Linked DNA regions of Callithrix jacchus. The protein of the gene in region 3 interacts with the protein of the main gene of each other region in a biochemical or structural test. Links are inferred from orthologs where the notes say so. Each region holds a gene or a part of one and is shown on either strand. Other genes may lie near its edges. The genes, in order: LTN1, ZFAND5, UBC, USP47, WDR48, BIRC2 and ANKIB1.

The links.
Region 1: of the proteins of UBC (region 3) and LTN1, one has a biochemical effect on the other in vitro, tested with the Homo sapiens proteins (2 studies listed by BioGRID). The link is inferred for Callithrix jacchus from reciprocal best matches to the Homo sapiens genes UBC and LTN1.
Region 2: the proteins of UBC (region 3) and ZFAND5 form a complex in vitro, tested with the Homo sapiens proteins (5 studies listed by BioGRID and IntAct, with this or other methods). The link is inferred for Callithrix jacchus from reciprocal best matches to the Homo sapiens genes UBC and ZFAND5.
Region 4: the proteins of UBC (region 3) and USP47 form a complex in vitro, tested with the Homo sapiens proteins (2 studies listed by BioGRID, with this or other methods). The link is inferred for Callithrix jacchus from reciprocal best matches to the Homo sapiens genes UBC and USP47.
Region 5: the proteins of UBC (region 3) and WDR48 are reported together in a solved structure, tested with the Homo sapiens proteins (2 studies listed by BioGRID, with this or other methods). The link is inferred for Callithrix jacchus from reciprocal best matches to the Homo sapiens genes UBC and WDR48.
Region 6: the proteins of UBC (region 3) and BIRC2 form a complex in vitro, tested with the Homo sapiens proteins (6 studies listed by BioGRID and IntAct, with this or other methods). The link is inferred for Callithrix jacchus from reciprocal best matches to the Homo sapiens genes UBC and BIRC2.
Region 7: the proteins of UBC (region 3) and ANKIB1 form a complex in vitro, tested with the Homo sapiens proteins (2 studies listed by BioGRID). The link is inferred for Callithrix jacchus from reciprocal best matches to the Homo sapiens genes UBC and ANKIB1.

What each region holds. Positions count from the first base shown.
Region 1 is NC_133522.1:35,055,263-35,058,762, forward strand, and holds part of LTN1 (E3 ubiquitin-protein ligase listerin), read right to left. Parts: intron 3,282-3,500; coding exon 3,183-3,281; intron 1,976-3,182; coding exon 1,745-1,975; intron 1-1,744.
Region 2 is NC_133502.1:92,473,291-92,477,357, reverse strand, and holds the start of ZFAND5 (AN1-type zinc finger protein 5), read right to left. Parts: upstream 2,801-4,067; 5' UTR 2,387-2,800; intron 1,951-2,386; exon of another isoform or gene 1,536-1,950; intron 1,299-1,535; exon of another isoform or gene 1,249-1,298; 5' UTR 1,162-1,248; intron 1-1,161. Other genes in the region: uncharacterized protein LOC144578672, read right to left, coding at 2,801-3,119, 3,392-3,777. UniProt on the Homo sapiens protein: Involved in protein degradation via the ubiquitin-proteasome system. May act by anchoring ubiquitinated proteins to the proteasome. Plays a role in ubiquitin-mediated protein degradation during muscle atrophy.
Region 3 is NC_133510.1:128,100,836-128,104,583, forward strand, and holds UBC (polyubiquitin-C), read right to left. Parts: upstream 2,413-3,748; 5' UTR 2,398-2,412; coding exon 568-2,397; 3' UTR 501-567; downstream 1-500.
Region 4 is NC_133511.1:77,826,860-77,830,359, reverse strand, and holds part of USP47 (ubiquitin carboxyl-terminal hydrolase 47), read right to left. Parts: intron 1,399-3,500; coding exon 1,223-1,398; intron 868-1,222; coding exon 787-867; intron 1-786. UniProt on the Homo sapiens protein: Ubiquitin-specific protease that specifically deubiquitinates monoubiquitinated DNA polymerase beta (POLB), stabilizing POLB thereby playing a role in base-excision repair (BER). Acts as a regulator of cell growth and genome integrity.
Region 5 is NC_133518.1:76,948,039-76,951,116, reverse strand, and holds part of WDR48 (WD repeat-containing protein 48), read right to left. Parts: intron 2,486-3,078; coding exon 2,409-2,485; intron 257-2,408; coding exon 64-256; intron 1-63. UniProt on the Homo sapiens protein: Regulator of deubiquitinating complexes, which acts as a strong activator of USP1, USP12 and USP46. Enhances the USP1-mediated deubiquitination of FANCD2; USP1 being almost inactive by itself.
Region 6 is NC_133511.1:2,401,419-2,404,918, reverse strand, and holds part of BIRC2 (baculoviral IAP repeat-containing protein 2), read right to left. Parts: intron 2,268-3,500; coding exon 2,189-2,267; intron 1,213-2,188; coding exon 1,164-1,212; intron 1-1,163. UniProt on the Homo sapiens protein: Multi-functional protein which regulates not only caspases and apoptosis, but also modulates inflammatory signaling and immunity, mitogenic kinase signaling, and cell proliferation, as well as cell invasion and metastasis.
Region 7 is NC_133512.1:57,373,075-57,377,366, forward strand, and holds the start of ANKIB1 (ankyrin repeat and IBR domain-containing protein 1), read right to left. Parts: upstream 2,801-4,292; 5' UTR 2,268-2,800; intron 1-2,267. UniProt on the Homo sapiens protein: Might act as an E3 ubiquitin-protein ligase, or as part of E3 complex, which accepts ubiquitin from specific E2 ubiquitin-conjugating enzymes and then transfers it to substrates.

The DNA.
Region 1 (3,500 bases), on a different chromosome or scaffold from region 3:
CAGAAACTTGCCCAGGGTCACACACCTAGTTGATACCTGATGGCAGAGTGGGACTAGAACTAATGGTGTGACCTAGAGACATTTATCGTAATGTTTTATAGACAGTATGATATTCTATCTATAATGTTGACATTTTGATTTTCATTTGTCTATCTCCTAATACATGGGTTTGGAATTTGAGACAGTTCAATGCCAATAGCTGAACTGTGGCATAGCCAACTAAAGGGAAAATAAAATAGAAGAATGAACATATGGATAACAGAACCCATATGTTCATTCTGTTACCATCCATGACAAAGCCAAGAACAAATTTATTTTTTTAAAGCCTATGAAGAGCCAAATTAGTTGTCTCAAAATCCATTTCCTAAAACTCTTAATGTCCAAACTCACGACACTTCACTCTCATAACATTTATCGCTTGGCATTTTAAATCAACCAAAAATTCTCAAGTTACAGATGGGCTAGAGAACTCCATTTGAGCATATGATTAAAGCTACAAGCCTTCTCCCTAGAAAAACAAGCTTGGTACACCTGAGAAATGAAAAATGGAAGAACCTAAATGGGGAACTAGAATCAAGTAATGTGGTGGGAAGTGTTCGGTGAAGAGATTAGACAGGTAAGCAGGGACCAGATCGTGCAGAAATTTGCCTTATATTACACCATAAGACAAGTGTATGTGAAGACAAGACATTTGAATTGATAGTGTAATGGAGAGCCACAGCAGGATGGCTAATTGAAAGGAGAAAGGAAAATAGAGAGAGAGGGTCAGACAGAAATGTTTAAGTAGGGTTATACGCAGGGTGTTGTGGAAACATAGGAGTACTAAATAAGGGAATAAATGCAAGCATGGACTTTTTTTTTTTAATTATCAAGTCCCTCCTCACTCCTACTTCATCTACTTTATTTCTCCATATAATTCTAACAACTCTGTTGTCTCGTTTTTCAAGGCCATATATTGGGAACAGCAAATAAAGGGGGAAGAAATAAGATACTACTAGAAACAGACACACTGAAAGCCACAAACAGGTATGGCTGGTAACTTTTTATGAAAAAGTTATGGCAAAAGTGTTGGCCCAGTGTGAAGAAACTTTATCTGATAATGGGAGTATAAATTTGTTTGGCCTTCTGAAGGGCCAGTTATCATTTTTTATAAAAATTTTTAATGTTCTTATCCTTTGGCCCAACAAATGCTTACTACAAGTTCTAGTATGTATCACTCCCACAAGCGTATGAAGAGTTCTACTCAAGAATGTTTACTGAAGTAGCATTTGTTATGATAAAAAATTAGAAAAAAATTCAAATGTATATTAATATAAAAAGAGTTAAACTATAGTACATTCAAGTAAAGTTACACCAGAAAGCCAACAAAAAGAGACTAAGGTAGATCTGTATATATGTACTGAAATGGAAATATCAGAGAAAATAATTTAGATTTATTCTTAGATACATTCTTTGTTTAGATTACACATTATAAAACATATCTACTTTTTTAAAAAATAAAGACTTCAAAACTAAAATGAAAAATAGAAATACTGCAGAAAGATCCAATCCAAATGTTAAATTGTTACAGATCCAAATTAGTCAACTTTACTAAACAGAATCTTAAAATGGCAATCTTCAGTTGGAAATATTATACTTACTCATTCCCCTGCAATCCTAAGTAAAAGAGCTGTCATTATGGTATGCTTATAACCTGAAACACTTAAAAAAAAAAAAAAAAATTCAGAATGATTCCAGAACTTACACTTGTAATTTCATCTTTACAAAATGCTATGGCTTCAGGTTGCTTGCTTGGAGGAAAAGCCGCTTCAAATGCATCTTTTGCCGCAAAAGCAGCTGGTGTGTAAGTATCACACTGAGCCATTAGCCAATATCCCATTAAACTTTTTAAGTAGGGAGCCAACTGTTTCTTTACTTTAAGGATAAGTTTTTCAAAAGCTTGCTGTGTGGCTTCTCGGACCCGACGATCATGATCCTATTAAAAATATAAATGTGATTTAAAATAGCTCTAGTCCAGAAAAACAGTCACAGACATTTCCAAATATGCTATAATGACCCATTACCAAGAATTCACCTATGTATTGAGCCAAACTGAAATCAATTTTTTAAATCAATAATTTAGAGGTTTTTTAAATCAGAAATTATGTAAAATAATTAATTTTTCTTTCTCCCCTTTTCCCAATGATAGGATTATATTCAAAACAGATTCAAAGTTGAGCCTTGAGGCTGAGCACGGTGGCTCACACCTATAATCCCAGCACTTTGGGAGGCCAAAGTGGGCTGATCATTTACAGACAGGAGTTTGAGACCAGCCTGGCCAACATGGTAAAACCCCCATCTCTAATAAAAAATACAAAAAATTAGCAAGGCATGGTGGCACACACCTGTAATCCCAGCTACTCAGGAGGCTGAGGCAGGAGAATCACTTGAACCCTGGAAACAGAGGTTACAGTGAGCAGAGATTGTGCCACTGCACTCCAGCCTGGGTGACAGAGCAAGACTCCGTCTCAATTTAAAAAAAAAAAAGTTGGGCCTTGAATAATTAAGCAACTCACTCTCATTCTTCTGCAGCAAATTTACAGGGAATAAAATAATTGTCAAAATGTATTAAAACTGGAAAGCACCTGGGTAATTCTCTAGTAACAACCTTATTTCTGAAAACAGATTTCCTCAATGTTCTTCATAACCCAACACAATCCAGTAATTTTCTTTTTTTTTTTTTTTTAAAGACGTTGTCTCTCTCTGTTGTCCAGGCTAGAGTGCACTGATGAGATCTTGACTCACTGCAACATCCGCCTCCTGGGTTCAAGGGATTCTCCTGCCTCAGGCTCCCAAGTAGCTGGGATTACAGACATCCGCCACCATGCCTGGCTAATTTTGGTATTTTTAGTAGAGACAGGGTTTCACCATATTAGTCAGGCTGGTCTCAAACTCCTGACCTAAAGTGATCTGCCCAACTCAGCCTTCCAAAGTGCTGGGATTATAGGTATGAGCCATCGTACCTGGCCCCAATCTTTTTTATTTCTACACTCTTCTCCAGTGTTAAAAATTCAATCTGTATAACAAGACTAATCTAACATTTAATAACCCTCACCAAAAATCAACCTTACAAATTTGAGAGTCTCCATGACTCCAACCAAAAACATACAACAGAAATAAACTAGCAAAGTTTGAATACTTACAAGTGAAATTTTGCAAAAAATTCTTGGCCAATATGGAAGAACTCCTTTCACAGTTTCTGTGTCTCTCTCTGTACACATGGTTCCAAATTCCTGCATAGCCTAAAATTAAGTTATTAACATAATTAAGGATTAACAACTATACTACTGGCTATTATTACTCTGTTCTGGAAGCTTTGTCTATTGTATGTAGCAGGAGAATACACCATTTCTGTTTACGCCATAGGGGACTAGTCTGAAGAGCTCCTTCACAGGCTACTATGGGAGAAACTCCACAGTTGTTTTTTAAAAAATAAAACATCTACAAAGAAAAAAACCTCA
Region 2 (4,067 bases), on a different chromosome or scaffold from region 3:
ATAAATATGTACATATTTGCATGCCCACCATGCACAAAATGTGTGAATCTTTGCCCTATGCATAAAAGTTGGGTCATTCCTTAAAACCAGTTTAAGTATGCCAGCTCACATTTTCTACACTAATGTCCACTGTCATCTGACGTTGGCTTTAAAAACAAACTGGCTTAAGGCCAAGCAATCAACCTACATATGTAATTTTAATCTGATTGTTAAAATCTTTTAGATAAATAAAATGGAGGATACTCCATTTAAAGATTTCACACACTTTGACATAAAGTATTCCACTTTCCCTTCAGAGAAGATGTCTACCTTCATTTCATTATAAATAACCTTCAACTGCGAGACGCACAAGGGGCACCATGACATGAGAGTCTTCTACACGGGTTCCCATCTTTTAGGTTTTTTTCACCTAGAAAGCCAGCTTTTAAATGCCATCACATGTGCACAGCTTGCTTTAATATTTCTCAGAAGCTTAGATCACATGGGAGGGCGCTTCAGCCTGTCACAAGGCTGCAATGTGACAAGCCGAGCTGGATGGAGGCTCTCACATAAAGCCTAGTCAACAGGGGCCTCTGAAATCAGCTTCTATTTATATCTCAAAGCCTGCCAACTCCTACACAACCCCAAGAACTAAGGATGCAGCGTTCATATATCTAACATAAGAAAACAAAAGAGCCTGCTAGTTTTTTTCCTAATGAGAAAGAACTACAGAACAATCTCAATCTAGAAGATGAAGGCATAAAAATCACTCAAAGCTAAAATGGTCAAGGTTGTTTATAAAAAAACTAAGCACAGTGGAGAGAGCGTATAAGAAAGAATTCTCATTTAGTGGCAATTATTTGGAGGATGAAGTGGAGAATGTGTGTTATCATCAGGTTGCATTTCCCTTCTCGTCAGTATTTTAGAAAAAAAATACCATTATATTTATCACCTTTAAAGTAATTAGAAACTTAAGCATGCACGTGTCAGCTCTATCAGGTATAACCAAAACACTTATTTTATAAAGTTTATGGCTTCCTCTAACTCACAGCTTAAAAAAAAAACCTGAGTGTAACTGAAAAATTCATCAATTCCAATTCTGAACAAAGAGCTTTTACACCCATGGAATATAGTTACTTCAGGTGCACAAGACGTTATGAGACGGCATGAATTCCCACTCACCTGGGAATTGAGAACTGAGTTCAAGTCTCTAGTTTGCCACTAAGCCAGTGACCTTGGGCAAGTCCTTATTTTCCAGATTTCAGCTCCCTGTTTGTCAAATGGAGGAGGATTGACTTTTAAAGGCTCCTTTTCAGGGCCTGGGAGATAGAAAACAGGAGAGAACTACAACGAATCCTTAATTTTTTAGGGAGGCGTGGGGGAACATTTTAAGAAAACTCTTTAAAGATAAAATTGCAATATTTTTACCGAGTTAAGAAATCCTACTTTAAAAACAATCCTAATAAGGAATAAAATAGAATTCGTTTAGGTTTTTAGGAATCTGTATCTAAATCCCAGGTTTAAGAACGGGATGTGTGACCTACATGTTCCTTTACCTTAGTATCTCCTTGGATTGGATGATAAATTATATCTTTAATAGACATTCAATCAATAAAAGATAGCCCGACCCTTCCCCGAAAACACAGCTCCGCGAGGTGCGTGGAAAGCGATCAAAATTTTTACGTTCACCAGCCTAAATGCATCAAACAAAGGAGAAGGTGCTCCACTTCCTCCATGAAAACGGATCTCAGGGTAGACATGCAGCGACGTCGAGAATCCCTGGCCCCATGTTCCAATGGATTTTAGAATAAGTTCGGGTCCCACTGCTCCCCCATCCCCCTCCAAGCAAAGGCCCCGCTCAGGAAAGCCCAGTAGGGCCTTCTCCTAAAACCACTGAGTCATGCAGAACAGCAGAACAGCAGCTCGGCAGGCCCGGCCCGCCCTTCGCCCGCAGGCCCCACGCCGATCCCCGACCCCGAACGGCTCTTCAGAGAAAAAACCGGTGCGGGGGGGGGGGGGAACGGGGGGTTTGCAGCGGGCAGGGGGCGCGGCCGGCGCCTTGGCCTCTTTGTTTCTCCGGGTCCTGGTGCCTACGCCGGATGCCGCCGCCGCCGAGGGCGGCCGGGCGGGAGGCGAGCGGCCTAGAGACCAGCCCCGCAGAGGCTGCACGCCGGGCATTGTTTCCCGACAGCGCTCTGGAGCGAGCCAGGGAAGCGGGGAGCCAGGCCTCGGGCCACGACGACAGGATGACGCCTCCGTCTTTGTGCTTCCTGAGCTGGCGGGCGGGCTCCCCTCCCCCGGACGCCGCCATCCGCGGCCTGCACCGGGTTCGCCGCCCGTCCCCTCACTCCCGCCCCCGGCACGGCCTAAGGAACCCGGTTCCAGCCCCCAACCCCGTACCACTCACCCTGTGGGGCCCCAAATGCGAAAGCCGGGCTCGCGCGCGAAGCCGGCACGGTGAGGCCGGGCTGAGGCCTCCGGGAAGGCTGAGCCGGGCGCCCAGGTGCCGCCGCCGCCGCGGGCCGGGAGCGGGTCGGAGCCGCAGGCGGAGGTGGCGCCGCCGCCGCCGCCGCGGGGTCTTCTTTTGTTCCTGCAGCGGCGACGAGCGTGGCCGGGACACGCCGGAGCTCGGTAAGTGGGAGGAGGGAAGCGGGGGGGGCGAAGAGGAGCAGAGGGAGGACCGAAGGCCGCAGCGGCTAACGCTTCACTAGGCGCTCGCCCGTCGTCGCCTCACGCCTCCACAGACGGCACGTTGGGCGGACAAGGGGGAGCGAATCGCGCGCCCTGAGGCTTGGGGCCGTAAGGGCCCGTCGATGGCGCTCTACGCCGCTTCTGCCACTGCTGGGAAAGCTGCGCGGCTCCCGGGAGCAAACAAGCCCGCGTAGAGGATGCACACAGCTTCGCTTCCCGGCCGACTAACAGGCTCGCAGCCCGATGGCCGGGCTGTGAGGGAAAAGAGGGGGAGGGGGCGGGACCCGTGCGTCAGCGAAAACCCCGACAGCGGCGGCCGCGGTGACGTCGAGGGCCCGAGGCCACGCCCCCGGCGCTCAGTCAGTAGGTCCGGGAGGCGGGGCTGAGCCGGGTCGCTGTCGGTTCTCGCGGAGCCAGCCACTGGCCGGGCGTTCGGCCTCTGGGTGGAGCTGGAAAGAGCGAGTCCTGAGGAGGGTGCGTTTCTATTTTTAACCCAATTGTCCGCCCTCAGCCTCCCTCCTTCGGATTTTCTCATTCAGGCTCGTTTTTCGCCATCCTGGTTCTCACGCTTTGTCTCCAACCCTGGGTAGACATTCCCTCCCCCAGGAATTTTAAGGATTAACCCTCAAAAAAGAATGAGAACCGCCTTATGGCTTTGGGGTCTTTTCTGTTTGTGAAACCTCCTCACTCCCCACCCCCATTTTCAGCTCCAAAGTCCAACCTGAGCGTGGCCCTGACGCGGCCGGCGGCGCGCCTTCGCTTGCCCAAGGTCACGAGTGGCTGTGCGGATGAGGAAACGCGCTGCCTCTCAGGGCTACTAGTGCCTAGGGCTGCCAGTGCCCCGGCGGCGCTGTTCTGAACAAACTGTTTTGGCCAGCCTGTAAAATCCCTGGAAATTGACCATTCCAGCAAAATGTAGTGTCCTGGGAAAGCACCAAATGTTCTACTCAAGTGCAGCGAAGGGACAAAACAAGCTAGACCTGAGGCCCAGATGAAGCGGAGGAGGAGGCTTGCGGGAGGAAGTTCAAGGGGGGAGGTACTGGGCGGGCAGTTCAGGCACGAGGAACCGGTACCCCCCTGGGTGAAAGGATGACTTACCTCGAAACACTGGGAACCGTTTCAGAGCACAAACCATTTACAACTGACTGATCCAAGTGACTTTCAGTTCAACTCAAAATAATGAAATTACTAAGTCCGAAAGGACTTCCCAAATTTTCTAGTAAACAATGATCTAACGAATACATAGAAATGACTTTTAGGGCTTATATTAGCCACATATAGAATGGAGAAGAGGTCCCTTTAGTGTTTCTCAAAGTTCGTAATCAAAAAAAATCACTGGGTGATTAAAGATTGCTACGCCTCTCTCTCCTTGATACGGTTTTTGTTGCGCTTCAGGT
Region 3 (3,748 bases):
CCTATGTACTTCATTCTTTCACAGGGACCCTCTCATCACTCCCACCTTTTAATATTCCTTCTCCCTTCCTGTTACCTCACACACCCCCAACCAGTATTTTTAAGTAACTTGAAAAAGTATCTCCCAATAACCTGATTACGACAGTCTTGCTCTGTTCCCCCAGGTGGAAGTACCGTGCTGCGATCTCAAATCACTGCCAACCTCTGCCTCCTGGGTTCAAGGGATTCTCCTGCCTCAGCCTCCGGTGTAGCTGGGATTACAAGCACCTGCCACACCTTTTTGTATTTTCAGTAGAGCTGGGGTTTCACCATGTTGGCCAAGCTGGTCTTGAACCTGCGTTTTATTTGCACCCACTTTCTACAGTTCATATTGTAAATCTACCTCCCCCCATTCACTGACATTTCATGGTTACCACGGTAACATTTGCGGACTGGAAACCTTGATCCCCTTCACCCTATCTAATGCAAAAATACCTTAACTTAAAAAAAAACCCACACCAATTGGGAATGCAACAACTTTATTGAAAGAAAAGTGCAATGAGATTTGTTGAAACCTTAAAGGGGAAACTTAAACACCCCCCCTCAAGCGCAGGACCAAGTGCAGAGTGGACTCTTTCTGGATATTGTAATCAGAGAGGGTGCGCCCATCTTCCAGCTGCTTTCCGGCAAAGATCAACCTCTGCTGGTCAGGAGGGATGCCTTCCTTGTCTTGGATCTTTGCCTTGACGTTCTCAATGGTGTCACTGGGCTCGACCTCAAGGGTGATGGTCTTACCGGTCAGGGTCTTCACGAAGATCTGCATGCCACCTCGGAGACGGAGAACGAGATGAAGGGTAGACTCTTTCTGGATGTTGTAGTCAGACAGGGTGCGCCCATCTTCCAGCTGCTTTCCGGCAAAGATCAACCTCTGCTGGTCAGGAGGGATTCCCTCCTTGTCCTGGATCTTTGCCTTGACGTTCTCAATGGTGTCACTGGGCTCGACCTCAAGGGTGATGGTCTTACCAGTCAGGGTCTTCACGAAGATCTGCATGCCACCTCTGAGACGGAGGACAAGGTGCAGAGTGGACTCTTTCTGGATGTTGTAGTCAGACAGGGTGCGCCCATCTTCCAGCTGCTTTCCGGCAAAGATCAACCTCTGCTGGTCAGGAGGGATACCTTCCTTGTCTTGGATCTTGGCCTTGACGTTCTCAATGGTGTCACTGGGCTCGACCTCAAGGGTGATGGTCTTACCAGTCAGGGTCTTCACGAAGATCTGCATGCCACCTCGGAGACGGAGAACGAGGTGAAGGGTGGACTCCTTCTGGATATTGTAATCAGACAGGGTGCGCCCATCTTCCAGCTGCTTTCCAGCAAAGATCAACCTCTGCTGGTCAGGAGGGATACCCTCCTTGTCTTGGATCTTGGCCTTGACATTCTCGATGGTGTCACTGGGCTCGACCTCAAGGGTGATGGTCTTACCAGTCAGGGTCTTCACGAAGATCTGCATGCCACCTCTGAGACGGAGGACGAGGTGCAGAGTGGACTCTTTCTGAATGTTGTAGTCAGACAGGGTGCGCCCATCTTCCAGCTGCTTTCCGGCAAAGATCAACCTCTGCTGGTCAGGAGGGATGCCCTCCTTGTCCTGGATCTTGGCCTTGACGTTCTCGATGGTGTCACTGGGCTCGACTTCAAGGGTGATGGTCTTGCCGGTCAGGGTCTTCACGAAGATCTGCATGCCACCTCGGAGACGGAGGACGAGATGAAGGGTAGACTCTTTCTGGATGTTGTAGTCAGACAGGGTGCGCCCATCTTCCAGCTGCTTTCCGGCAAAGATCAACCTCTGCTGGTCAGGAGGGATGCCTTCCTTGTCCTGGATCTTGGCCTTGACATTCTCAATGGTGTCACTGGGCTCGACCTCAAGGGTGATGGTCTTACCAGTCAGGGTCTTCACGAAGATCTGCATGCCACCTCGGAGACGGAGGACAAGGTGCAGAGTGGACTCCTTCTGGATATTGTAGTCAGACAGGGTGCGCCCATCTTCCAGCTGCTTTCCGGCAAAGATCAACCTCTGCTGGTCAGGAGGGATGCCTTCCTTGTCCTGGATCTTGGCCTTGACATTCTCAATGGTGTCACTGGGCTCGACCTCAAGGGTGATGGTCTTACCAGTCAGGGTCTTCACGAAGATCTGCATGCCACCTCGGAGACGGAGGACAAGGTGCAGAGTGGACTCCTTCTGGATATTGTAGTCAGACAGGGTGCGCCCATCTTCCAGCTGCTTTCCGGCAAAGATCAACCTCTGCTGGTCAGGAGGGATGCCTTCCTTGTCCTGGATCTTGGCCTTGACGTTCTCAATGGTGTCACTGGGCTCGACCTCAAGGGTGATGGTCTTGCCGGTCAGGGTCTTCACGAAGATCTGCATTGTCTGTTTTGACAAAAAGCCAAAAACCACCAGGATTTAGCAATTTATTAGCCTTCCTAATGCTGTAAGTTAAATGTCACATTGACCCAAACAATTAAAACTTGCGTTACTTCACAAAACACACTCACCAGCCTGTTTTCAAAACCCAGGCTTCAACTCCTTACAACCGTAGGTACACAAAACCGACCGAAGACACTGAAGCCTCGCTTACCCTTCCCTCTCGGGAGGTCTGGCGCCTGTCGATTCAGGAGGTCCTACCCTAGGCCCAACCCTGCGTCCTGCGACGGAGAAGAGCCCACCGCTCACCTCCCGGCAGGTGGCCCCGCCCCGCAATTATGAGCCGACAGAACGAGAACGGGTGACGTCACCACAGAGCGAAGGCGCGCTCTCCCCCCCCCACAGCGCGCCCCATTGCCGCGCGGCCACGCGGTAACCGCTACCCCCGCAACGGACAAGACGAGCTCTCCAGTCAATCACAAACTTCACGTCAGGGTCCCCCAATGGTGCCCCAGCCCATCCCACGAGAATCAGAGCTTTCCGGCATTAGCGAAGGCCTCCAAGCCTTGAGTCCATGCCCCCCAACCTTGTTTCAACGACCTCACGGCCCGCCTCACAGGCGTCTTCCACGCAGCGCTCGGAACAGCCGCCATTTTGCTGCGTTCTCCCCACCTCAAGCCCACCTTTCTAGCGGACACAGCCGACAGCCCTCCCCAGTCTCTAGACCCGGGGCGGCAACCCGCCTCCATCCCACCTCGCGGCCGTTCGGCCCCGAAAGCCCCAGCCCGCCCAGAACCCCACTGCTCACCAAGCGGCGATGACAGCAACGGACAAACCACGAACACAACTGCACTCCCGGCTGCGACGGAACTAGCTGCACCACGCCCGGAGCGTCCTTATATAGTCATCGGCGTACACCGCCCCGAGGAGATCCCTCCGCAGAACCGCCGAGAAGGGACTATTTTTCCCCGCCTGTTCCGCTCTCTGGAAAGAAAACCAGTTCCCTAGAGTCACCCAGGTCCCGTCCTAAAATGTCCTCCTGCTGAGACTGGGGTTCTGGGCCGAGTCTGGTGGGCAGCGGGCCGCCGTCCTGAGAGGCCGGGCGGAGGGATCAAGGCACTAGCTGCGCACTGCGATTGTGACGTAGCGGCGCTCGCCGTGGGGAGGGAGCCGCCCGCGGGAGGCGCCAAAACCCGGCCCGGAACTGCGGCGCCTGGAGTCGGTGGGCGGCCGGCGTTCTTCGGCTGCGATCGTGCACCCCCTCCCTTCAGCCCCCGCGGTCGCCACGGGTCGCCAACTCGTGTTCGGTGGACGTGGGGCGGGAACTGAGCGCCTCCCGCAGAGTCGGGGTGTC
Region 4 (3,500 bases), on a different chromosome or scaffold from region 3:
TATAACAATGTTATAACAGAATGTTATGACAATAGGATGCTATAACATTCTGAAAAATATGATCTTTGCCTTTTTCTTTTAGGTGTTTGTGGTAAGGCTAGTATACCACAGGGACTAAAATGGTTCATTGATGATTCCTTAAAAAACATAGCCTGTTTAAGATCATTAACCACACCATTTACAAGCAGTGTGACCTTGACAAGATACTTAACTTCTTTCTGCCTCAGTTTAACTATAGAATGGGAATAAGAAATAATGCTTGTATCATAATTGATGAGGATTAAATGAGTTAATATTTGCAAGCACTTAAAGCACACAGTAGATACTATATAAATGCTTGTTACATAATAAAATGACTTTCAACTGCTCTTCACCTGTAGCATTCTATGATAATTTCCAGAAAGCAAGCACACACAAACACACATAAAATTCTTTTTAAAAGCAGGAAAATGTTGTCTCATTTCAGCATTTGTAGCAACACTTTAGAGCAGAGGGATGACAAACAGTGGTCTGAGGGCCAAGTTCACTGTTGCCTGCTTTTGTAAATAAAATGTTGAGACACAGCTATTCTCAATGGTTTATTATTGTCTATGGCTCCTTGTGCTACAACAGCAGAAGTGAGTAACTGCAACAGAGGCAGTACGGCCTGCTAAACTACAAGGCTCAGAAAACATTTGCTGACCTCTGCTTCAGAAAAATAAAATGACTAGGAATAAAATCTCTACAATGTATGTTTTTAGTAACTGTAAAAAGTAACCTTATATTGTTCTTAAATGTATTACTTACCTCTTGTTCATTGACCAAAAGCTGGTACACTTTAACTCTGTATTCTCCTTTTTTAAGTGCTCTCCCCAGTCGAATTGTAATCTATAAGTTAAAAATATTTTTTTAGATATGCTGTCTCAGCAGAATAAACAACCCATTCTCATCCCATTTTAAACCTTCCAAAATTCTCTAGATTATAGGCTCTCTGAGAACAGGCATAACTTTTACCTCTGAATCCCTAGCACCTAGAACAGTAACTGACCCACAGTTAACATTTTACAAACATTTGTTAGATGAGTGAAGAAAAGCAACAAAAAACCCCCCAAATTACCATTAAACATTTAAAAAAAAGTTTCTTCTAGTGTATCTACTTCACCCTACTTGGAAGTAGTAAAAGCTGTTCTCAAATCTATCATTCAAAATAGACTCTAACTGCTTGAAGATTATTTTAATCAACCTTATTGTCATCAGAAAATGATGAAAGTGTCTCATTCAGCCGGACGCTCTCAAACTCTTGATTGCTGGCATACACTCGAAAGACCTTGAAGTGAGAGGATAAAACTCCAACAAAGGGCTCTAGGTGTTGTTTGAAAGCTGCCAGAGTAATTCTTTTATCAACATGCACCATCATCCCTAAGCACACACATACAAAGAAAAAAACAAAGCAGGAACAAAATGTAAAAGAAACCTGAGTATAAATAAAACAGATCATATACTTTTTATAACACTGTTGCAGGAAAAAGTACCCCTTTTCAGTTAAGCTAATATATCACACTGAATGGAGAAAAATCATGGACACAGAGTTTCTGGTAAGTATTATCCAACAGCTTAAAATGTTCTGAGCTATTTAAGTGTTTGTTTGCTTAGGCTGCCAAACTCAAAAACAAGCTTCTAGGAATTCTTTTAAAATATACACATTTCTAGCTCTACACAGTCATGGTGTAAGTTCTAGTGGTTCCAATCCTACCTCCTCTGCTTACTTACTATATGGGACATGGCACCAGTCACCAGCCGCTGTACCTCCATTTTCTTTACTAGAAAAATGGAGGTGATAATAGTGCCCACCTGAGTGATGCAATATGATTTCAGTGACGTAATTCATTTATCATGCTTTCAGCGCAGTGCCAATATAGTAACTGTCTCAAAAACTGTCAGTAATATTATCTAATTTTCAGAATTTTCACTAGAAAAAATGTCACGACTAGCATACTAAGATGTCTGATTTATCATATGGTTGGGCTGTAACAAGAACTGTATTTAAATGGATCAGAAACTCTTACCTCTTCCAGGCTTAAATTTAAGCTCTCTTGCTACTGTAAAGATTATCTCTGATGAGCTTGATTTTTCTCTAATGCTTATTATTTTAATCTTTTGTCCCTAATTTTATAAGCCACTCATGAGGACACATCTGGAATGCTTCTACTGTGGTCTTCATATTGTAGTAAAAAGCAGAAACCAGACTCTCTGCTAATAAGGCAGGGCTACCATGCTGCCTCAGACTGCTGGACCTCCCTGGCTCTAGGGCTCCCTCCATGTTAGGTCTTGTTTTTCTGTGAAAGCTACTTGGAAGGTAAAGGATGAGGTACTAAAACACTCCTGGTTTACATTCCCATGTCATATCAACGCTTAGGTTGAATTTTTCTCAGATGACTTTTTTTTTTTTGAGACGGAGTTTCACTCGTTACCCAGGCTGGAGTGCAATGGTGTGATCTCGGCTCACCGCAACCTCTGCCTCCTGGGTTCAGGCAATTCTCCTGCCTCAGCCTCCTGAGTAGCTGGGATTACAGGCACGCACCACCATGCCCAGCTAATTTTTTTTTTGTATTTTTAGTAGAGACGGGGTTTCACCATGTTGACCAGGATGGTCTCGATCTCTTGACCTTGTGATCCACCCGCCTCGGCCTCCCTAAGTGCTGGGATTACAGGCTTAAGCCACAGCACCTGGCTGATTTTTTCAAATAAAATAATGTTCACTGCTTTCCTGGCTATAAAATATAGGTTCATTAATAGAAAATGTGACAAGTACAGATTTGAAGAAAATATGAAGAGGATGATGAACTTTATTCATTATCTACCTTTTGAGTTTTGAGGCAGTATTTCTCTTGATTTGTTTAAAATGTCACTTTTTAATCTATAAGGAGTACCCTTCTATGTCAATAATCCAGCTTATGGCAAACAAGCTCTGTCTATGCTATCCAATAAAGGTACTAAATTTCTTAACAGAACAGTGTCATCCAAAAATTACTTGATTAGAATTTGAAAGCCTATGGCTAGATTTCAGTTTTGTCACTTTACTCTGATAAATGGCTGTAGGGAGGTCATCCAATCTCCCTCAGCCTCAGTTTTCCCATGTGATCATAACATATAGTAAAAGTCTTTTCTAAAGCATTAATCAAATGTAAGCTTTTATGAATATTCTGGTTTCTTTCCTAACCTCTAGTAGTGTTATTTCATAGGAAGACAAAAATGTTTGTTGGTTACTGATATAGTTTAACGTGGTGATTATAATCGACTGGTTCTAGAATTTGATGGCCTAGACTGAATGAATTCCTGGCTCCTCTTCATATATCAGATTTGTGACTGTGACTTCTTAACTTCTCTGTACTTTAATTACCTTTGCTATAAAATGGAGATAATAGTATTTAAACCTCAAAGTTGTGTTCTGAGGCCAATACATGTAAAATGTTTAGGATAGCTTTGGTAGAGTGTTAATTTATTGGCTATAACTACTTTGT
Region 5 (3,078 bases), on a different chromosome or scaffold from region 3:
ACGTAATTCCTTATGAGCACCAGCACTGGCAAAAATGGGGCTGTGGTCCTCAAGTCCACTTACCTGGTCCTGGCACAAAAGTTCAATTTTCTCCTCTGCCAACACAGCAATATCCTCTTCTTTTTCCTGTTCTCCTGGTTTTTCATTATTAGAAGAGCTAGTGGTTTGAGACTCATTATCCAAGTTGATAATTTTTTCATAAACATGTTCCATAACTTTCCGGACCTGGAGCATGTCACTAGCAGAGAGTCTATCTCTGTAAAAAGCAATGGCATATTGTGACATCAGGGAAATCACTGAGGTATTATCTTTTCCAAATTCTTTTTCTTTGATGTGAACGTTTTATAAAGATGAAAAATAAACCCATGTTTTTAGTCATTCCCTTAATCCATTTTTAGAGTTGCCAAAGGATTTTCTACAGTGTCCTTCAAAGACACAGTTTATGTACAACTAAATGAGATTAATTCATGTCCTTAAAACTTGCATGTACAGGCCAGGTGTGGTGCCTCATGCCTGTAATCTCGGCACTTTGGGAGGCCGAGGCAGGTGGATCACTTCAGGTCAGGAGTTCGAGACCAGCCTGGCTAACCAACATGGTGAAACCCTGTCTCTACCAAAATACAAAAAATTACCTGGGTGTGGTGGTGCATGCCTGTAATCTCAGCTACTCGGGAGGCAGAGGCTGCGGTGAGCCGAGATCATGCCACTACACTCTAGCCTGGGCGACAGAGTGAGGCTCCATTTAAAAAAAAAACAAACCAACTAAAGAAACAAAAACACTACATATGCATACATAGTAGCCTTCTGGGTTTTATTCCCTTGAATGCTTTCCCAGAGCCTGGGCAAACTAAATAATTCTGGAAAGGAAGGCAGCTCCCAATGCTTACCAGGGTCCAACACTGAGTGCTCAGCTTTCCCTGGGCTCTCCTCCCCACTGCCATGCCTTCAACTAGCACCTGTGGGCCTGAGTCTAGACCTGGAGTCTCAGGCTTCTGTTCTAAACCACAAATCCAACAGCTGGATATCCTACAGGCACCTCAAACTCTGCATGTCCCAAACTAGATTCATCAACACCCTACTTCTGTATCTCCACCACACCAAAAAACTAAGGCTTACACTCTGAAAACCATTTGAACATCAGTTGTTAAGTCTATCTGAAGTGATGTCTAGGACTCAGTTTAAAATAATCGTGTATGTGAGTGTGTGTGTGTGTGTGTGTGTATGTGTGTGGAGGGAGGTGGGTGAGAGGGCAGGTAGAGGTATAGATGAAGCAAAATGTTAAGCAAGGTATTGATAATTACTGAAGCTATCTGATAGGACAATGGGGGCTCACTATCCTTTCTGTGTAAGTTCGGAAATCTCTGTAATAAAAGGGTTTTGAAAACTTTCGATTTTACTTGCTAGAATATACATATTCTTAACAGTTTAGCATTCCATTACTACACTACTAAAATTCCTCTCTTGGGTGTCCCTAGGCCATATCCCACATTGGCTCAAAAGTTTCTGGTGTTTAGCCACTGCACACTCTATGGCTTGGCATTCAAATCCAGCATCAGCAAAACCTCTAAAACCTCTAACCGCCTTTCTAGTTTCCGTCCTAGTATCCCCCTGCTGCCCCTCCATCCCACGCTGCAGTTGCACGGGTCCTCCCACTACTTTCCACTATCTTACACATGCTCCCACTGCCACATCCCTGATCACACCATGTCCTGGACTTGGAATATCTATCTTTCGAAGTTCTACCCATCTTTACATGTCCAGATCAAATTCCACGTCTTTCAAGAAGCCTGTCTGGAAAGCTCCAGCCAAAAACTCATTTTTTTCTCCCATTCTTATTATTCCCTAAGTATCCAAACAGCAATTATATACAGGTTGTGTCCTAAACTGTGAATTATGGCAACAGACAAAATGCATGTTTTATTTATTTTATCATTTTTTCCTTAGAGACAAGGTCTCTCTCTGTTGCCCAAGCTAGAGTGCAGTGGCATGATCTTTGCACACTGCAGCCTCAAAGCTCTGAGGACCCTCCTACTTTACCCCCTGGCTAGCTTGGACTACAGGTGTGTGCTACCATGCACAGCTAATTTTTTTACTTAAATCTTTCCTAGAGACGGGTTTCACGACATTCCCCTGGGTGGTCTCAAACTCCTGGCATCAATTAATTCTCCCACCTCAGCCTCCCAAAGTGCTGGGATTATAGGTATGAGCCACTGTGCCTGGCCTTATTTACTTCTGAACACCTGCAGTCGGCTAAAGTTGGTACCTGGTAAGTGGTTTAATCATAAACTTTCAATATTATAAAATCAGCCTTAGATTTGGTATTTGCTTCCTTTGCCACAAAAGCAATCATAAGGAAAAGGAATTATCTCCAGTAGTTAATTCGATCAAGAAACCATATGTTTACTTACTTTTTTAAGGTTTTTGCTCCTGAAGATGCATGAGGTTGGAGGTAGAAAGGAATTTTGTTGAATTTGGGCATATTTTTCTGAAACAGTAAAAGTTAAAAAGGTATAATAGTTTCTATTAGCTGTTAACTAAAATAATGTTAACAGGAAAACATGACTTGCAAGTAATAATTATCTTAAAATTAAAAGTGGCTTTCTATGAAATTTATAGTAAGCTATCAAATTACCTAAGTCATCCTTGGAGAAAATTCATCAGAAAAATATATGTAACTTAGTGGTAATATGAAATTGTAGCATGGCTCTTCTTAGATAACAATGGAAGGCATTAAAGGGAAACAAACTTTAATTTTTTAAGCCATATAAACCAAACTCTCATTTCTACATTAAAATATTGAGGTTGATACCTAAAGGTCCAAACAAAAACTTCAGTGTCTTGACAGAAACCCATGGCATTCACCTTTGGGCAAAGCCACAGATTCTGTGCTGGCGAGGCCCATCATCCAACTGAAAAGGCCACTCAAGGTCCTCCCGTTTTCTTTCCCTCTGACGTCAGAGTGAGGTCTGAGGTGTTAAGAAAGAGTGGAAACTTCAGCTAAGAACCCAGGCGTCCACCATGAAGTAAACCACATGCTTAGATGAAGTTGATACAATTACGTGGTCATCTTTTCTCAGG
Region 6 (3,500 bases), on a different chromosome or scaffold from region 3:
ACTTGACAGCAGTGGTTATAAATTTTAACAAGAGCTCACACTGCTGTCTATCTTTTCTCAGTCTATTACACAGGAGATAGTCGTCATGTACCCAGGTACTCCTATTCCTATTTTCCAATCAAATACTACTAAATCCTTCATGCAATCCTCCTGAACCATGGTTTCTAAGACTCTTATATATCTTGGTCACCTTTCTCTGATCCAGTTAACAAATCTGCCAATACCTTTCTTGAAATGCTGTGCCACAAACAGAATGGCCTTTGTAGGTGTGACTGGTACATAAAACAATGGATTATTACCTTAGCCATTTTAGATATCATAACATACGTATATTACATAAACTGACAGATGTGGTTAACATTAAGCTCTAATCAAAAGCTATACTATTTCCTGCACTTGCATTTAAATATAACATACGTGACTTAAATACCCAACATCTAGTTCAATTCTTGAATCATATGTAAACTGACCTTTTCCAAATCATGCTAGCTCAGAGCAACCTTTTCCTTTCTGGAGGGCTTATTATTTGCACCTCTTATTTGGTGTTGCTTTGAGCTATTTGTTTTTCTTTTGCTTCTGTCTCATTTCTCCAGTTGGAATGTCAGCACTAAAAGTGGTAAGTATAGCACTAGAACAAAGACTAGTATATTTTTATGATCCTCTAGTTTTATTAACAACTCTCTCTCTCTCTCTCCACATATATATATATATATATATATATACACACATATATATAGTATTAGCTAACATCCCAGTTTTTTTTCTTATGGCTTCAGAAACACTTTTAAAAAATACATACTTTGATTCCTAAAAAATTTTTTTTTTTTTGTGATGGAGTCTCGCTCTGTCACCCAGGCTGGAGTGCAGTGGCGCAATCTCAGCTCACTGCATCCTCCACCTCCTGGTTTAAGCTTTTCTCTTGCCTCAGCCTCCAGATTAGCTGGGACTACAGGCACATAACCCCCGGCTAATTTTTTGTATTTTTAGTAGAGACGGAATTTCACTATGTTGGCTAGGCTGGTCTCAAACCACTGACTTCAGGTGATCTACCCTCCTCGGCCTCTCAAAGTGTTGGGATTACAGATGTAAGCCACTGCACCTGGCCCATTCCTAAAATTCTTATATAAATTTCCACTCCATATTTAAAATTAATTCATACATACTTGGTGGATCAGCAATTTCATCTCCAGTAGTGTCTGAAGTTAACAACAGCTATGAAACAAGAGAAAATAGGTAAAATCAGAGATCCCCAACAATCTGAAAGGAACAACACTTTTAAACTAAGTTTACTTTAAGTGTATACAATCTTTTGAGAACTGAGTGATTTATGACCATCACTTTGCTTTCTTTTACCTAAATACATAGATTTCCTTAAATTTCATGTTATCCCAAATTATAATTCAAGTATTTCTCTAGTTTCAAGAAAGCAGAAAAATGTATTAGTGGTTTATCATTCCATTTGGAAAGTAAAATTTTAACTGGGTTACTCTCAAAGGGTGTCAGCTCCTAACAAGTTATTTTTTGTTTGTTTTTCCGGAAAACAGCAAAGAGACACTAAAGAGCCTTCTCCAATCCATCACGAATTTGTACAGTGGCAGCACAAATGATTTTTCAAAATAGTAAAAACAATATTTTTTAAAAAGCCCTAAACAATCAAGTTGGTTACAAAAATAAAAATCAAAGGTGTCATTAATATGAATGAAATATGTAACTGCAATTAATAAAACAGGAACAAGTATAACTTCTTTTTTCGAGACAGAGTCTCGCTCTGTCTCCAGGCTGGAGTGCAGTGGTGCAATCTCAGCTCACTGCAACCTCCACTTCCCAGGTTCAAGTGATTCTCTTGCCTCAGCCTCCCAAGTAGCTGGTACTACAGGTGCACATCATGACACCCAGCTAATTTTTATATTTTTAGTGGAGACGGGGTTTCACATGTTGGCCAGGATGGGCTCGATCTCTTGACCTTGTGATCTGCCCACCTCAATCTCCCAAAGTGCTGGGATTACAGGAGTGAGCCACTGCCTGGCCAGAAATAAGTATAACTTCTAATGTAGGTTGGTGCAAAAGTAATTGCAGTTTTGTCATGACTTTCAATGGCAAAAACCACGATTACTTTTGCACCAACCTAATAATATTTTTGTTATTATAAAGCAGAATTCAATGTTGTTAATTTTAAAAATGTATTTACCTGTTCAAGAAGATGAGGATATCTACCTTGAATCTCATCAACAAACTCTTGCCCTTTCATTCTTATCAAGAACTCACATCTAAAACGTATGAGGAAAATTACTTTTAAAAACTGTTTCATATCAAATATAACCTGATCATTCTAGAAAAATGGTTTTCAGATCATTTATTGTACTTCACAGTAAAAACATTTTATATCACAACCCAGAACACATACATAACAGGAACAAAATTATCATAAAACAATATACATCTTACTGTATGTTATATATCATGATATTTTCTATTTCAATCCATTAACACAACAATAAAAAGAAAAGCATGTGCACCTACAAAGGGGAACAAGCTAACTCCTGAAAAATGCTATTATACACAATTTATTTTGTACTTAAAGTGGACTACTTAACAGTTTCACATAACTCAATATTCCTAAAATGTGATCTTTCACAATTTAACGGCTAATCTTTCTTTAATGCTCACTCTTCTATTACATTTGAACCACAATCAACTACCTTCCCTCCAAAAAATATAGAATCAAATATTTTTATCTACATATTAAATATGACAGTGTTTCCAAATATTTGTTTTTAAACTGATAGGGCTTATCAAAGATGTTCTAATAAGTTCACATCCCATCTATATCCATTCTATTCCTTTTGTTTCTTCAACAAATGATACTACACAACTGGATACTCACATGGAAAAAAAAATCTCTGACTTATCCCCATATTATATGCAAAAGTAAAGTAAAAATGGATCATACACCTAAATAAAAAACCTAAAATAATAAAACTTTAGAAAAAAGCTCGGGAGAAAAATCCTTTTGTCTTTACATTAGGTAAAGAATTATTAGATAAAAGACCAAAAACATAATCCACAAAAGATAAAATTGATAAACTGACATCATCAAAATTGAAAACATCTGCTCTTCAAAAGTCAATGTTAAAGAAATGAAAAGCCACAGCTCAAAGAAAGTTTCCAAGAGTGATATCAGCAAGATAGCAGACTAGGAGACAATAGCCATCCTCCGCCCAAAAAAGACAACAAAGAGGCAGCTATCCACAAACAAATACAGCTCTGGGAGGACACAATGGCCCAATAAGGCTACAGCAATACAGTGGGGAAAAAACAGGGAGAATAACCGCGAAGAAAGGAGAGCTAGGAGATATGCTCAGCAGAGACACCTAGAGAAAAAGGGGTGAGGGCTATCTGTATCAGTCATGCGGTGAGTGCCATCACGGTCCTCAGTGGCAAACACCGCTAGGCTCCTCCCCAGAGCAGGTCTCCAGAGACATCCACTAACCCTCAAGATA
Region 7 (4,292 bases), on a different chromosome or scaffold from region 3:
TCTCTTTAATAATGATTTAGTCCCCTCCCAAATGCTTTTTGGCAAATGTGTCAAATATTTGAAGGAAATCTTTTAAAACTTAATTTAAATAAATGTTATGTGATCTTCAAAGGGGGAAAAATTACCCAAAACATTCAGGAATCTTTTCCAACTTCATTTCAAGGACATTCAAATTAACTTAATTCATAGTTCGTCCATCTACTTATATATGAAAATGAGCTTACACTTTTATCTACAAGCAAGTTGTAAATACGCATATTTCACTTTCACAAGTTTGAGTGCATACCCCAGAAAAGAAAGTAAAGAAAACTTACTCTTTGAGAAGTGGGCAGTGCCACAGGAGTACAAAAGAATGGCTAACAAAATTTCCCTCCTATGTTTCAGTTGAGTGTATTATTAAGGGTGTGGCTTTTGCTTTCTGTAAAATTGGTCAGTTTCTGAATAAGAGTAGGGTGCTATAGTGGCTCCCTCCTATGTTTCAGGAGCCACCTACCTGTTAAAGCCCTTGTTTACAGCACAGTCTGCTCAGTTTCAGAATCCTTACATACTGAAAACTCAAAATTCTCAGTGGGACCAGTGCAATAGGAAAATATAATCCTATCTTCCCCATCCTACCCCAAGGAAAAGAGAGAATCAACAAATACTTTTTTCTAAGACTTCTCCAAGATAGCACCCATCACCTCACCATTGCACCCTACTCTTATTCAGAAACTGACCAATTTTACAGAAAGCAAAAGCCACACCCTTAATAATACGCTCAACTCCGTACAGTGCTTGGTTTCTGTGCTAAGTACATTTCCAGAGAGAGAGCTGGAGCTACATCTCCTGAGCCTACTTCAAATTAACATCTGTGAACAGTGAGAAGTTACAAATCAAATAATAGCCCCAAATCAACTGATGAAATGAGATTTGGGGGAAAAATCATTAAATATATCCATCTTTCTTAATGAAATGACAATGCTTTTCAGCAACACAAAACACCAAAGCTACCAGTTCATACTACACAGTAGTTTGAAGAATACCAATCTGCAGTACAGAGTAAAATTATTCTTAAATTATCATTTGCTTCCTATGGTGCTCTGAAAAGTAGCAGATGCATGAAGTCAGATAAGAGCTATTGTTCAATCACTGTCAGCATTAAAATTATTTTTAAATCTAATTTCTGGAAAGTTCTGCAGTAGCAGTTTAAAAAGCAAATCAAATTCTAATGAGAAAAAAGTCTAGTTCAAAATCTGAAAATACACTTTGAAGATATTCACAATTTAAACTAAGAAGCAAGAATGTCATAGGCAGCAAGGTGTGTAATATCTGTGAGTAGCTGATTTCTCTGGAATTAAAAAATTTTCTCTGGAATTAAGGATTGAAAATAATTATCAAATACTATCTAATATGATCTTTTTAAGTTTCTTGTCTCCATTACCAAAGCAAAAGCTTCCAATACAAAGATTTTCACACCTTACACATACCCACATACTTCACAAATTAAGAACTAGATGAAAAACACTAAAATTTAAAGGTATCTAAAATACACTATTTGAAACAGCAGACTCTTATCTTTACATTCATCTAACAGACCTACTAGTAAAGATCTTCTGAAATGGATGGTCATTTCAAACAAGATTGTTCGACATGCCATTCCGTGTGAAGAGCTAGGGAGACTAATTCTCAAAACATCCTCAGGAGATGCTTTATTACAGCTCCAGTTTCAATTTCCTGCATCTCAAACAGCCACGTACAGAAAATAGCTCGTACATAGGGAGAAAAATCAGAATACAGGGGAGCGCTCCACTCTTTTGTTTTGGTGGCAGAAGCTGCAAAAAATAAAGGTTCACTGGAACCATCTGCACCTATCCCCACCCAGCACAGCCCTGCAGAGCACTTTTACCCATCCATTCCTAAAGACTCTCTCTAGCCGCCGAGATCGGCAGAACCCGCGGCTTTCCACGTCTCAAAGGATGGGCAGGGGAGGATGCGAAGAAGGACACAGATCCTTTGAGGACAGAGGGACAAGAAGATGTATCCAGATGGGGAGGATGGGACGCGTCACGGAGACCTGGAGGCTTGCAAATTCCCTGGGAGAAAAGCCCTATAGGGGAGACAGAGAATGCTGCCTGTTCAGGGGTGAGGACAGAGGGACAATGCTCCAAAACAGGAGACAGGCACACTCCTAGTAGATCCAGGAGGGCGTGAACTAGGTAGCTTTGAACTCGGAGCCCAAAATCGGTAGAGAGAGCCTCAAACAGATCCGTACAGAAGCTGAGACTTACGGTTACCGCTCCCGCCGAAGGTAAAGGTCGGTGGACCCTGCAGCTCCGCAGTTCCGCCTCCGCCGCCCCTGCCTCTACAGCCGAGCTGGTGACCTCAGGTACCCTGCCGCCCCACCCACCCCGACGGGTGCCCCTTCCTCGCCTGCCCGAGTGCACCCCCGACAGGCGAAGGCTGATGTGGCCGACGGTGCGCACTGGCGGCCCGCGAGCAGCAAGAGCCAGAGGCGCCCGCGACGAGGCTCAGACAGGGTGGGTGCCCCCCATCCCTCTCCGGCTGCCGCCGCGCCGCCTCACTCTGGGGAGGGGAAGAGGGGGCGGTGGCTCTTGCCTCCGCCTCGCGGTCAAGTCCGGCTCATGCTCCAGCTTTGCACGCTCTCAGCCCAGGCCGCCCTCTTCCCCTCCCCCGGCTCCGGCTCAGCTGCTGGCACCCCCGTCACCACCACCCTAGTCTCCTAGTCGCCTGCCACCGGCCCCTGAGAGACTGCAAGTCCACCGAGAAGCAGCAGGAACGGCAGCAGCCCGGCCGCCGACCCGGAAGCTCTTCCTCCGCCAACCGCGAGGCTGCAAAGGGTGTGGACCCGGAAGCGATTTCCTAGCCACGGTAGCTGCGGGGTGGAAAGCTAAGGCCTCTGAAGACCTGGGACCCCATAGTTTCGGGAGAGGGTGAGGGTTGAATGATGCCGAGGTCCGAGGAGAGGGAAGGACAATAAAGAGCAGGTGGGCAAGAGGGTCTCCGACTCCAGAGACCTGAGCTTTTGGGGCCCCGGGTGGGGAGCGCGGGGGAACACTGCGGTCGGCTTGGCAAATGAGGGTTTTTCCGTCACAGGAAGCTGGGCCAGGCTGCTGTGCCTGGAAGAAGGGAAGGAGGAATGAGAAAGCGGTGACGGTCCCTGCCTCCCCCCCCCCGCCAGGTGACTGTCCCACTCATTTAGTTGAATGTAGCGGCCGGAGAGGCACTCGCGGCGTCCGTACGGGTGGGACCTCTTGGTTCCTTCTGGGAAACAGAAGGAGCAAGTTCGACTCCAGCGAGGGAAAACAGAGGTGGGAGACTGAACCATCTCCACATCTAGTTGCCCCAGGCAAGGAGTTTATTTTCCACATTTAGTTACAGAGAAACCAAAGCCACTTTTTGGGTGGAAACTCTTTGAGCAAAGAGACTTAAATTTTTCTCTGGTAGTGGACGTCGATGGGTGGTGGCGCAGGAAAAAAACCTCCCATGCAAAGTGATTACGTATTTTTGTCATTGCAGGGAAAGCGATTCGCAGCTCACTTCTAACTCATTTCTCCCTCTCTAACTCATTTCTTGCCTCCACACCTTTTTCCACCTTTTAAGGTTTTTTGCTTTCATCGCCTTTTCTACGTGGTGTTTTTAACCTCTCCAGAAGTCTTTTATCTCGCTAGTCTAACTCAGGATCTCAGCCTCATTTTCTTAACTCTTCTGGAGCACCTATGTGTCTTTACAGTTTCTGTTTGCAAGCACTGTCTAGCATACTAAGGATATTAGCAAACCTGTTCCATGGACACTAAATGGCAGTTGTACACCTCCCCTCACCAGTCATAGTGACAACCAGAAATGCCCTCCATATTTTCCAGTGATCCCAGGTAGGTGCCACCTCCCAATTAAGGAACCACTTACACCACTTTATTTATAACGTTTCATTACTTAGGCAGCATATTATCATTTGTGCCTAACATTTTCTAGAATACAGTGAGCCATATAACAAAATGCCACGTTTCCTGTACTTATTCAGTTGAACCCTCATCTCAGACTCACTCTAAACATATTGCAAACTCTAGTTATACCTTTCTCTTATTTTAGCTAAAACTACTCATTTTCTATCAATTTGTAGGTGTTTCTGTCTTAGTAGTTTTACCTTCCTATGTTAGTTGCTTTTGTTGTTTTCCTGACTTAAGCCTTTGTTTCCTTCTTTCATGTCTCTGGAAGAATGTAGATTTTAAGTAGTCAAGTAGGAATAGTTCTTGAAAATCGTTGTAAGAATATTTTGGGGACATGGTAAAAAAGTA